Oryzias latipes: one gene and its partner. The protein of the gene in region 1 purifies or fractionates together with the protein of each later gene. This does not show direct contact. Links are inferred from orthologs where the notes say so. Each region holds a gene or a part of one and is shown in the gene's direction. Other genes may lie near its edges.

Region 1 (5,820 bases):
CTTCTGTCCCACAGCTTTGTAAACTGTTACGTCTGATCGCACCTATCGAGGCCTGGTGGATGTAAATATTAGCTGTAATAAGCCCATTCCATGTCGGAACAGAATTCACATCTGGTTTGAACTGTTTATAATCTGACATATTAAACAGGTTTAAAGCCGTAACTGTAATCACCTCCAGTTAAGGATTTTGTGTCACTTTTACAGAATGTGATTCTCCTGAAACAAATAAGTTCAGGTTAATCACAAAAAAATGTTTTCTTCCTTAAACTCAAAAGCAGTGATCACTTCCTCGATCAGCTCGTTTTTTATTTTATTTTATTTTTTGTGTGTGTGTTTAAATGAAATCCTCCTCAGAAACCGGCGTCTTTGCAGCTCTTTACATCCACTCTGTTGCTTTGGAAACAGAACGGTTGTCTGTGGATCACAAGAATTTGGATCCTTAAGTCTCTAAGGACTTTGACTAGCCGCTTGTCCAGACCTCAGAGTGACTGTACAACTGAAGTTGTTTGTCTCTTTAAAATTATTTAAATCCGATGCATCTATTTCTCAATCTGTTTTAAAACTGTCCCTCTCCAGATATCTTTACTTTTTTTTTTTTTTTTTTTTTTTAAGGGGTTGGCTTTATGGGTTTCCGTCTCAAGCTTATCCAAAAAAAAAAAAAAGTGTGCACTTATTGTAAATCTGTCCTGAGTTTGTGCACGCACGCACAGAACTGTTTTAGGATGTGTGTTTCTTTGCTTTAATGTGTGCCGTCTGTTGGACACCGTCATGGGACTACGGCGTGCACGTATGTATGTGGGACATCATACCAACACCATGAATGTAGATATTCTTCAATTTTTTTTGACATTTCCTCGTCCAAAGGTCTTCACTGTCGAGTCACCTATAACTTGAACTTTAAATGAACGTCGCCGTAGATTTGGCTTTTCAGACAAAGCGAGAGGCATCGATCTGGAGGATTGGAACCGCAGCGAATCTCCTCGCTAAACAAAACCAGCGCAGACTATTGACAAACCTGGAAGAGGGAAAGGGAAAATGACATGGGGAGGTCTGGAAAAGGGATTTGCAGAACTGCTTTTGCCAGTGGACTTGGAGTATAAAAAATGTAATTTTTTCCCCCTGTAAATACAGTTTTTGTATCGAGTGCTTATTATTTTGTTAGTACTTTGATTTTTGGAAACCCTCATCTGTGATATTGGAAGCCGGTGAGTCTTTCACTCTTCAGGAGGAACTTTTGGTTAAATTCACCCGTTTGTTTTTTGTTCCTCTGCCAGCTGTTGGTTTCTAGAGATCTCTATAACAGCCAAGCTTTACAAGTTTGTACTGCTGACCATTTGACAGAATTTGATGTTTTATATAGCTGAGGCCGGGTGTTCTTATGTCCTTGTAGTTCAAGTATTTGAGCAAATAAACAACAAAAAAGCTTGAAAAGATGCTATGTTTTTGAGTAGGCAAAACATCCATGTAACCAAAACATTTCACTTTTTTTTTACCATGAATATCAAGGATGCAAAGACTGAAAACGACATTTCAACACTTTTAATGTTGTCTGAGATGTTCAACTATTTGCTTCCAGTTTGCAACTTTGAAATATTTTCATCAAACAGTAATCCATATGCGTTTGAATCAAATCATAGCATTGCTTATCTAAATAAGGAAATTTTTGTTTTCAAAGTTAGAACACGCAGAAAACCCTAAAATCAACTATTTGATGTTGAAAAGCTGTAAAATCTAATACACTTTTTTAATTTGGAAGGCATTTATGTTTAATAATATATTCAAAATTCTGAATGGGGCAAGTACTAAGCAGCCGTGATGTATATTAACCACAATATTTGATAATAAAATCTAAAAGTCTATAGAATCTATAGAAAGTCTATAAAATCTATAGCTAAAGTTAATAAAGGAAGGTTCTAAATCAAGCGTGACAATAGAACCGGAAGCACATATATGTACCTTCAGAGTAATTTAGTAATTTCTTTTTTTTGAAGAAAGTTCTTCTGAATTACATTTTCCTCTGTGACGCGGTTGACAGTTTGATATATGTAAATAATTGTAAAGTAAATAAGAAGAAATTATGACCAAATCCCAAAGTCTTGTCTTTAAATCCAACACCGTTTACGACATACAGCTTTTATTTTTTGAAAGTAAAACCCGAAGCCCGTCCGTGTTATTCTTCTTCGCTTTACTGCTGTGTGTGGCCAAGCTGTCGGCCTGTTCGATGTCAAGCGGGTTTCTAACGTCAGTTAAGCTAACCTCCACCTGCGGCAGCTCTGACTTCGGACAACAGAAGCATAAAACCGTAAATCGTAACGATGGCTGCGACTTAAGGACAAGCATCCCGTCTGCGTGTTTCATCCGGACCGAACCGGTTATGTGGCTTCTCCCAGAGAAACCGCCTGCTTCAGGCTGAGTTGTTGTTGGCACGACCGGGTAAGAAGAGGAAACAGTTTTCGCTCGAATTCTGATGCTATCAATCTGCTCTTTTAGGGTTACCGTCTGACAAACGAGGAAAATATATCCAAGGATTGTCTGTAGGCATAAATACTAATACTTTTTTTTAAACATATTAAATATGTTTGTGTTTAAACTGTTAATAATAAAAAAGGAAGAAAGTGCTTTTACATTCCTACAATTTAAAGTATAATTAGTATAATAACATCTAGATTCGACCAGATGCAATTATATATTAAAAAATTAATAAATAAGAACTCATTTACACCTCCTGTTTCTCATTAAATAGGAGGGGAAAGCGGTTATAACCTGGTCTACATGGAAAATTCAATTATTTATTACTTAATGGAAGTTTGTCTGAACCCAGCTGGATGTGTTTACTGTAGTATTTTTAGGCTGAGCTACCATGGAGTATTTATTTAGTTTCCAGCTTGCTTATGTTAAATAAAGTTTGTTTTTTCCCCTGAAAAAGCTTCTTCACCTGCATTTGTTTTGTTTGGAGATTGTTCATCCTCCTCTGTTTCCTTCTCCTGATCAGAATGAAGAAAGTTTTGCTACAAGGCTTGATATTCAAAGTAAAAGTAAGATGTTTGTTACTTTTATTTTCTTGTTTCCAGTAAACCTTTTCTTTTCTTATTTTAAAATGATTGTTGAACTTTTATTTTGAAGGACACCAGCTCATCACCTCCATATCAAGATATCCTGGATAGATTTTCAAATGAAAATGGAGGATATGCCTCTCTCAGGCCCAGACAACACCAAGCTGGAGGTGAATCCCCATCACCTCATTTGGTCATTTTACATAACCCCACCATTTTTCTTTGACTTGAGTGTCTTGTCTGCTGGCAGGCCTTGGTGAACGACATCTACTCTGAACTGGTGGAAGATGCGTGTTTGGGCCTGTGTTTCGAGGTGCATCGTGCTGTGAAGCAGGGCTACTTCTTTCTGGATGAAACGGACCAAGAGAGCATGAAAGAATTTGGTCTGTCCCGTTCGGTCCAATTGATTCTGTTCATTTATCGTTGTCTGTGTTTGCTTGACTTGTTTTTTTGTTTTTTTTAAATGTGTTTCAGAAATCGTGGACCAACCAGGAGTGGACATCTTTGGACAGGTGTACAATCAGTGGAAGAACAAAGAGTGTGAATGTCCCAACTGTAAAAGACTGATCGCAGCTTCCCGCTTTGCTCCTCACCTGGAGAAATGTCTGGGTATGGGACGCAACAGCAGCCGCATCGCCAACCGCAGGTTTGTCGGTGGCGACCGTTTGAGTCAGGCGCTGTTATTGATTCGGTTCACACTCGCGGTTTTCCTCTGCGTTTTGGCCAGACTCGCCAGCAACAACAACACGAGCAAATCGGAGAGCGACCAAGAAGACAACGATGACCTTAACGATAACGACTGGTCATACGGAGCCGAAAAAAGAGGTGAGCGTGGAAACGTCAAAATACAGACGGACGGTGACGCTACAAAATAAACACACCTGTGCACACTTTGTTTTTCAGCAAAGAAAAGGAAATCGGACAAGGTATTGATTTGATCACCTTTTGACACAATTTATTCGTTTTATTCTGTAAAATAGTCTTATTTAAAACAATACATATTTCTTTGCAGAGTCAAAATTCCCCAAGAAGATCAAAAACTCTGAAACACAAAAACGGTAAGTGGGTCAGAAATCTGCATCCTGTTAAAACAAATATCAAAAATATGTTGTTTCCCAACAGAGAGAAACTGGTTAAAGTACTATTTGCTTCAGTCTAATTAAATTTCTTCTACAAGCTCATCTTGTTAAAATTTCATTAAAATGAGGGATACTTAGATTATTTTTGGTTAGAATTTTGTTGGCCTGCAGTTGAATATTTTAGTAGAAAAATACATTTTTTTTAAAGGAGAAAGTTAACGGCTTAGCAGTGAAAAGTTTCAATGTATTGTTTTACTTGAAACGGCTCAGTGGGCTTTTCAAAATAAGAGTTCCGTAAAGAGAAAGGCCGTCGGACTACAAATGACAGTAGAATTGACTTGATTGTCGGACGTGATTTAACACAAAGCTTCAGTTTTGTGAATGAAGAGCTGCACGTTTCCTCCTCCAGGTGAGCTTGGGAGCAGCATGAGTGCAGATCCTTACAAGGTGACTGACGCCTCTCCTCCATTACGAGTGCAGGGCTGTGGGGCGTTTTTGTGCACCTCACTGATTGGGGTTTTCTCCATTTCAGTACAACTACAACGCTGGCATCAATTATGAGATGTTGGGCCCTGATGAAGTCCGATCCTTTCTAACTACAGTGAGCACCTTAAACACATCAGCAGGAAAATTTCATTTCTCAGCATAATGTACCATGTCTGTGTGTGTGTTTGTCTTTTTTATCACAGCAGTGTGGGGTCATATCAGAGCACACGAAGAAGATGTGTACAAGGTAGTTGGAAATATCCAAAATTATTAGTTGTTTTCTAGTTTCAGAGCATTTTCTTGTTTGGATGTTGTAACTTGTAGTTGTTTTGTCAGACTAACCTGCTGTAGGGTTGTCGTCTTCCTGCCCTGTAGTTTGGGAAGGTCGACCTGTCTGTCATCACGCTGAGTGTGTAGAGACTAACTCAGGGGAACACAAGTGGCAACCTGGAGATTTTTTCTTTTCTCCCTTTTAAAACAAAAACCAAATTCTGCAAAAGTCTTCCATAAAAGCGGACAAACATCAGCGTCAGTTGGACCAAGACGGCTCCGGTCGTTGACCAAACGTCTTGGTGTTGGTCATTGACCGGCTCCCAGCAGTCCGTCCCACCTCCTGCATGCGGGGCCGCTTTCCATCGTGCTACCCTCCTCCTCAGAAACGCAGGTTAATGCGTCCGTCTGCCTGAGGAGACGCGTTAGCATCATGGGAAGCCTCCCCCGGGGTGAGGCGTGGAGCTGTGCGGTGGGTGTGGGCACGCCGTCAGTCAGGGTCATGTAATGCCACCTTGTGTCCCTCCAGGTCTCAGCGATGTCCTCAGCACACGGACGAGCAGAGGATGGCCGTCAGGGTGTTCCTCCTGGGGCCGTCCGCGTGAGTGTGCCTCCCCCCACCTCACCCGATAATACCCATGATCCACTGCAGTAAAGCAGAGGATCAACCGCTCATCTCAACAGAAAGTCATTTCCTTCAGTCTGCTTTCTCTCACTGATTTGGGGATTTCTTTGTCTGAACCTGAATTCATGTTTTCACTGTAGAGGCTGGTTTCTGCTTCAGAGCGATCGGCCGTTCTATCAGTCGCATGGCGCCCCCGACCAATCGTGCGGTCTAGTTCCTAATGGGGTTTTACTTGTGACTGTCCACGTTAAACTGCGACAAACTTATGAGTGGCGTTTATACTTTTCAAGCCCAATGAGGCGATTGC
Region 2 (5,723 bases), on another chromosome or scaffold:
GGCTCGGTTGGCCCTTTGATCATCAAAGCAGCTGCATGCGGACAGATATTACAGATACAGCTTATTGATCACAACATGAATGGGACAGGAGGGATGAAGGCATGTCGACATAAACAGAAGATCAAGCTGCTCTTTGGCCAGCAGCTTCAACGGGTTCTCGACCTTGTTTTGACATTTGGTTTCAGACTTCCAGCAAAAAAAATGACATTGAAAATAAAGAATTTTATACTCGTCAATGTCCCATGACAAGCAACTGATGTCTCTCCTCTTAACAAACAAAGGCACTTTTTCTTTCGCTTTAAGCAGCAATCATTCTAGAACCCAGCTAAGAGCTGTGCTCATATTCTTATGCAAGATCTTCAGTTGGCCTTTACATGTAAAAAGGCGTTTTTTTTCGGTTTCTCGTTGTTTCAAAAGACATTTCCTGTTTTTGTCAGTGGTTTATAACCACTACAGTACAGCAGCAAGTCAGAAACTGCAAAACATAAGCAAACTAAGAAAATTATAAGAAATTAACTCACACTAAAGAATACTGTAAATACAAAACATACATGTGGCAGAATTATGATCAATGCTTTTACAAAAATAATTGTTTAGGATAAATAAATCTAAGAAAAAGTTATTTTAAGACTATCACATATGTACAAAAAACATATTTACCATGACTGCTGTGGATCAGGGCAACAACTGCAGCAAGAAGAAAAGATCTCATTGTTGCAGAAAGAAAGACTAACTTAAATACTTGAGAAAACGTCGAGAAGTCTTCAAGCAGCGACTAAAGTGAAATGAAAGCGTCCTGCGTTTTTATCTGACGCGCTGTAGGTGTGGCTTTCGTTTGGTGTCCAAAAGCCCCCAAACTTTTCTGTCAATTTCACTTTAAAAATGAAAAGAAAGAAGTAAGATTTGTTTTTGTTTTTTTTTATTTTTTATAAGCGTTATCGTTGTTTTTAGATTTAATGACAGAGTTTTGCTGATGGATGTTGACATGGGAAATGACTGTGTGAACCAGAAACGCAGCTGTCCACTCTCTGCTCCAATAATCACGACTGCTCTCTGCGCGTCACGCGTCGCTCAGGGAACCAAACCACTTCTGTTTTAACCTGAGCTTTGCGGGTGTGTTTTTTTTTCTTTCCTTCCTCATAAGAGCCATCATGAAAAAAATGTGTTAACGATGTTTCTCACACTTTTTGGTGCGATGTGGAAAACCTATCAAGCCAACATTTCACGCTTTATTTTATTTCACTGCTCACGGGGGATAAAAAAAATTGTTTTTAGTGTAATCTTAGTTGTTTTTTTTTTAATTAAGACCTTCAGTTATATTAAAATGAAAAAGGGAAAAAAAGAAAAGGGAAAACTCGTTTACATCTAACAAAGACAATGCCTACGATGGCGTATGCTACATCATCTTGCATTATAAAAAAGTTTGTTTAAAAATATATTTCCAATAAAACAACAGCATGGCGTGAAAATAAACACTGAGATGTGAAAGTATACAGAGTATTGAGACGTAAAGAAAATCATAAATATTGGCAACCAGACCAATCTAGATTAATCGATTTGTTTTCCTGTGATTCAACCAGATCGATCTGTCTAAAGCAAATTGGTAAACGAATTGACATCTACCTTTATCAAATTGTTTCTAATAGTCATAGACAACAGACAACACACATGTAATGGCAGCAAAAAATGATCGAGCCGTCATTACAGTCCAATGCTTTGAAACATTTTTCATTTTTTGCAAAGAATTTTGTGACCATAGTAGAATGGTAGAATGTTCTAATATTGTTCAGATTATTTTATTTTGATGTGGAAAAACAGACGTGGGCTGAACTTTATGAAACTAAATTTTGACTGTAGATTTACTATTAATTGTTGTTTACGTGTTTGTTTGTTTGTTTGTTTGTTTGTTTGTTTGTTTGTTTGTTTGTTTGTTTGTTTGTTTGTTTGTTTGTGCACATATTTAATTTACATTTGATTATCTTGCAAGAAATACAACAAGGAATCTGTTCAGTACCGAGTCACACTGGCTGTTTTTTTTTGCTCAATTTTAGGTCAGTGAATTGGATGAAATTGGATGTTTCAAAATGAACCGATATCAACTTTGAATCCTATTAGCAACCACAAATTATGATACAGATCAAATCGTTTTTTAAAATGAATCGTAACACCCTTAATATTTATTATGTTTCCTATCAAAAACTTAAAAAATAACCCACAATCTTTTATAAAGCAACTGAATGACAGGCCATCTAAAAAACAAGCGTTCTCGTTTATTGTATTTATATATTTTATTTTCCGTGCTTCTCCACAGAGGCCGATTTTGTTCACGTGTTATTGAAGTGCCACACACAGTCCGACAGGGGGCAGCGTAGCGTGGACACGGTTCTACCGGAAACAGAATCGGGCAAAAGCGGAAGTTCCGAATATTGCTCCCTGAATTCTGGAACGGTTGTTGCCTGTTCGTAGACAAATTTAGTGTCAAAGACGTACCTTTCCCTCGAAGTAATGACGAAAATGGACAGATAGTGTTAATTTAAAAAGGTGAGTCAATAAAAAGCTGCCACGACTTAGAATTTTGTTTGAGGAACGCCGAACTGAGAAATTAGCTGCTGAATTTAGCAAGGCTAACTTCAAAGCTTTGTAGCTGCTATTGTTTTTAGCACTAACAAATCTGTTAACGTTGGATTCTTATCTGTGTACTAAAGAATTTATGTAATAATGGCATTTGCTTACTTTGTTGTATTTTATTAAATTAGCCTAAAGCCCTTAAGACATCGTGTAGCGTTAAGCTAAGCGCTTTCTGCTGCGCGCGTTTTCCGGTCTCTGTTTTGGAGTAAATAATTAGGGGAAGCAGACATCAGATTTACTAGTTTAATTAAAACATACTTGCATTTTGTATTGGATGCAAACGCTAGTTTTTAGGCTTATTAAATGCTGCTTTAAGCTACATGCAGTTAACCGAAGTAAACTAAATTGGGAGGGAAATGTTTTTGGGAATGGATCATCTTTTTTTCCTAATTTCACTGAAATTTGTACTGTTTTTCTACAAATTTAAGGTTGTGGTTCCTTGAAAAAGCGGTGCTTTCGACTGCCACGCAGGATTTGGGAGAGCCTTACCCGGGCCACCAGCGTCTTGTAACTTAAAGAACTGCTTTGCGCTTCCTCCTTGACCTTGATCACTGAGAATGGCCAATAGCACCCCAATAATAGTGAAGAGCCTGCCTGCTGGTCCTGCAGGTAGAAGCAGCCCAGAAGGATCTCAGGTTGAGTATTTTTCAGTTTTGTATTTAGTATACAGTAAACCCTTGTTTTTCGCGGGGGTTACGTTCCAAAAAGAACCCGTGATAGGCAAAATCCGTGAAGTAGAAACCTTTGTTTTTTCTTACAATGAATTCATTCATTCATTCATTCATTCATTTTTTTGAATGAAGAACACAATGCACGATGCAAATCCGTGAAGTAGCGAAACCGTGAAAAGTAAACCGCGTTATAGCAAGGGATCACTGTAACCACTTTTATGTCCTTATATTTTTATATATAACTTTTGAAATGTATTCTATTTGAGATATTGTTTATATTTTATCTAATGTAAAACTGTTTCATCTATTTGTCTTTTTTTTGCAACAACTACCATGTACGCTTTTGAATTTGATGCTTTGTATTTTGTTTTATTTTTTTACCTGAAAATATTTCTATTGTGTGACTGCAGCTAACAGCTACTTCGGGATACTGTTTAATTGTGAAACACAAACCTTACACTCACATGTGTAAGTGTTACACTTTCTCTTTCCTCTTGTCTTCAGGTCCTCTCTAAGAAGAAACTGCAGGACCTGGTGAGAGAAATTGACCCAAATGAGCAACTGGATGAGGATGTTGAAGAGGTCAGATTAAAAAAATATTGTAACCTCTTATAAAGACTATTAAAAGACATGCCTGTTGTATACCTTATTTAATATTTTCAATGCTTACGTCCGTCCAGCATTTCAAACTGTTACGTAGAAAACATGGATTTTTGTTACATTCATAAATCAGAACATATCTTTATTTGTGTGTAAAATCTTACTTTGTTGAGTTCCTTTGAGGCCTTCATATGTTTTTTCTTCTCAGATGCTTCTACAAATTGCAGATGACTTCATAGAAAGTGTTGTGACAGCAGCCTGTCAGCTGGCACGCCATCGCAAATCAAACACGTTGGAGGTTAAAGACGTTCAGTTACATCTAGGTATGTTTTTTACAGGCTAAATGCCCTTTTATTTTGTACTTTTTGTTTGATAAATATTTAGTGGAAACTAAGGGATTTTTGTCTTATTGTTGTGTTGTTTTTATGTATTTTAGAGCGTCAATGGAACATGTGGATTCCTGGTTATGGCTCTGATGAAATTCGACCGTATAAGAAGGCTTGCACCACAGAAGCTCATAAACAGGTAAACGATAGAGTAATTTTTCTGTTTGTGAAGTCATATTATTGCCGTAATTGTTAATTTTAGTTCCCTTTTCTTGAGTCTAATGCTCCCCATGTGTTTCTTTTTCAGAGAATGGCACTGATCCGCAAGACGACTAAAAAATAAAAGGGCAAGCCCTTAGGTTGAACCCAATTTGTATATTTTCAAATTTTTAACTTTTCTTTTATGCAATTGTTTTCATTTCCACTTGAGTTTGTCATTTTATTTTATTGACAGTAGAAAGCGTTTTGATGAGGTCGTCTGTCTTTGACATTAAATATCGCTCAATTGTAACGTCTCCCTGAATTTGAGTGTGTGGAGTCATTGCACAATGTTAGTACTTTGGTGTGTGTTTTTTTTTTTCCCACTAAACAGACTGGTAGAATTTCATTGTAAGTCTTGTCAATAAACACTTGCTGGAAGAATTCTTATGAATGGCGACCATTGCTGCTCCTCAGTTTTTTTTTAAATCCTTTTCAACATATTGATGTACACTTGGCCAAATCTGAAACGCATCTAAAATGACTTTGGCGTAGCTATTTTGCAAGTGTAACAAAGTGTGCTTTGAATTTTTTTTACTGTTTATACAAAAAGTTTAGCAGTAAACGGCGCATTGTTGCCAAAATAAATTTACCCGTGGTGTTAAAAAATAACAAATGAACTTAAGTGCATGGCGTCCCTAATGTTTTAACTAATAAGCTGTATTTTTAATCTCCTTGACGACTTTAATTTAGCACCGACATGAAAGCAAAACCATAAGAAATTTTTAAAAAATAGTTTGAAATAAATTCAGGCGTCAAGGGGTGAAAGACTTAAAAATGACAAGCCACAACATTAAAAACACATAAAATGGTTAACCTTTTTCCTCAGCCTGGTACTAAGGAACATTCAGATCGGTTAGATTTAGCCAAAAATACATTAAAGGTTGGGAAAGCATGAAATATTTATTGAAATTTTAAGTAAAATTATCATAGAATCCAGTAGTTTTCAAAACGTTTTTCCTAATACTTGACAAGAAAGGTTTCTATTTAAGTCTAAAGAGCAAGAATGAAATTATTGTTAGACCATGTCAAATACTCATGAGCCTTTACTTTTGTGCTATCCTAGGCACTTTAACATTGGGAATTGGGTCATCTAGACCCCAAAAGACTGCGCTGAACTTTTTTCTTCAATGATTTGTGATCTCTAATGGATTACATGAAATCCTCTCCACCTTTATCCACCTTTGTCATGGTAGGAAGAACACGTCAATGGTCATTTTGACCCCATAGGATAGCACAA

What was found. Proteins that work in one complex are often made in the same cells at the same time.
Region 2: the proteins of atxn7l3 (region 1) and taf12 purify together in Homo sapiens (affinity purification with mass spectrometry; 5 studies listed by BioGRID and IntAct, counting the BioPlex papers as one, with this or other methods). This does not show direct contact. The link is inferred for Oryzias latipes from reciprocal best matches to the Homo sapiens genes ATXN7L3 and TAF12.

Annotation. Positions count from the first base shown.
Region 1 is NC_019866.2:4,612,444-4,618,263, forward strand, and holds the start of atxn7l3 (ataxin-7-like protein 3), read left to right. Parts: upstream 1-2,148; 5' UTR 2,149-2,433; intron 2,434-2,992; 5' UTR 2,993-3,035; intron 3,036-3,123; 5' UTR 3,124-3,172; coding exon 3,173-3,223; intron 3,224-3,303; coding exon 3,304-3,436; intron 3,437-3,527; coding exon 3,528-3,699; intron 3,700-3,780; coding exon 3,781-3,878; intron 3,879-3,956; coding exon 3,957-3,979; intron 3,980-4,065; coding exon 4,066-4,111; intron 4,112-4,541; coding exon 4,542-4,579; intron 4,580-4,664; coding exon 4,665-4,733; intron 4,734-4,821; coding exon 4,822-4,865; intron 4,866-5,417; coding exon 5,418-5,489; intron 5,490-5,820. UniProt on the Homo sapiens protein: Component of the transcription regulatory histone acetylation (HAT) complex SAGA, a multiprotein complex that activates transcription by remodeling chromatin and mediating histone acetylation and deubiquitination.
Region 2 is NC_019874.2:22,541,539-22,547,261, forward strand, and holds taf12 (transcription initiation factor TFIID subunit 12), read left to right. Parts: upstream 1-2,387; 5' UTR 2,388-2,541; intron 2,542-3,056; 5' UTR 3,057-3,185; coding exon 3,186-3,263; intron 3,264-3,803; coding exon 3,804-3,881; intron 3,882-4,107; coding exon 4,108-4,222; intron 4,223-4,335; coding exon 4,336-4,424; intron 4,425-4,532; coding exon 4,533-4,568; 3' UTR 4,569-4,883; downstream 4,884-5,723. Other genes in the region: uncharacterized protein LOC101164588, read right to left, coding at 1-31, 661-712. UniProt on the Homo sapiens protein: The TFIID basal transcription factor complex plays a major role in the initiation of RNA polymerase II (Pol II)-dependent transcription.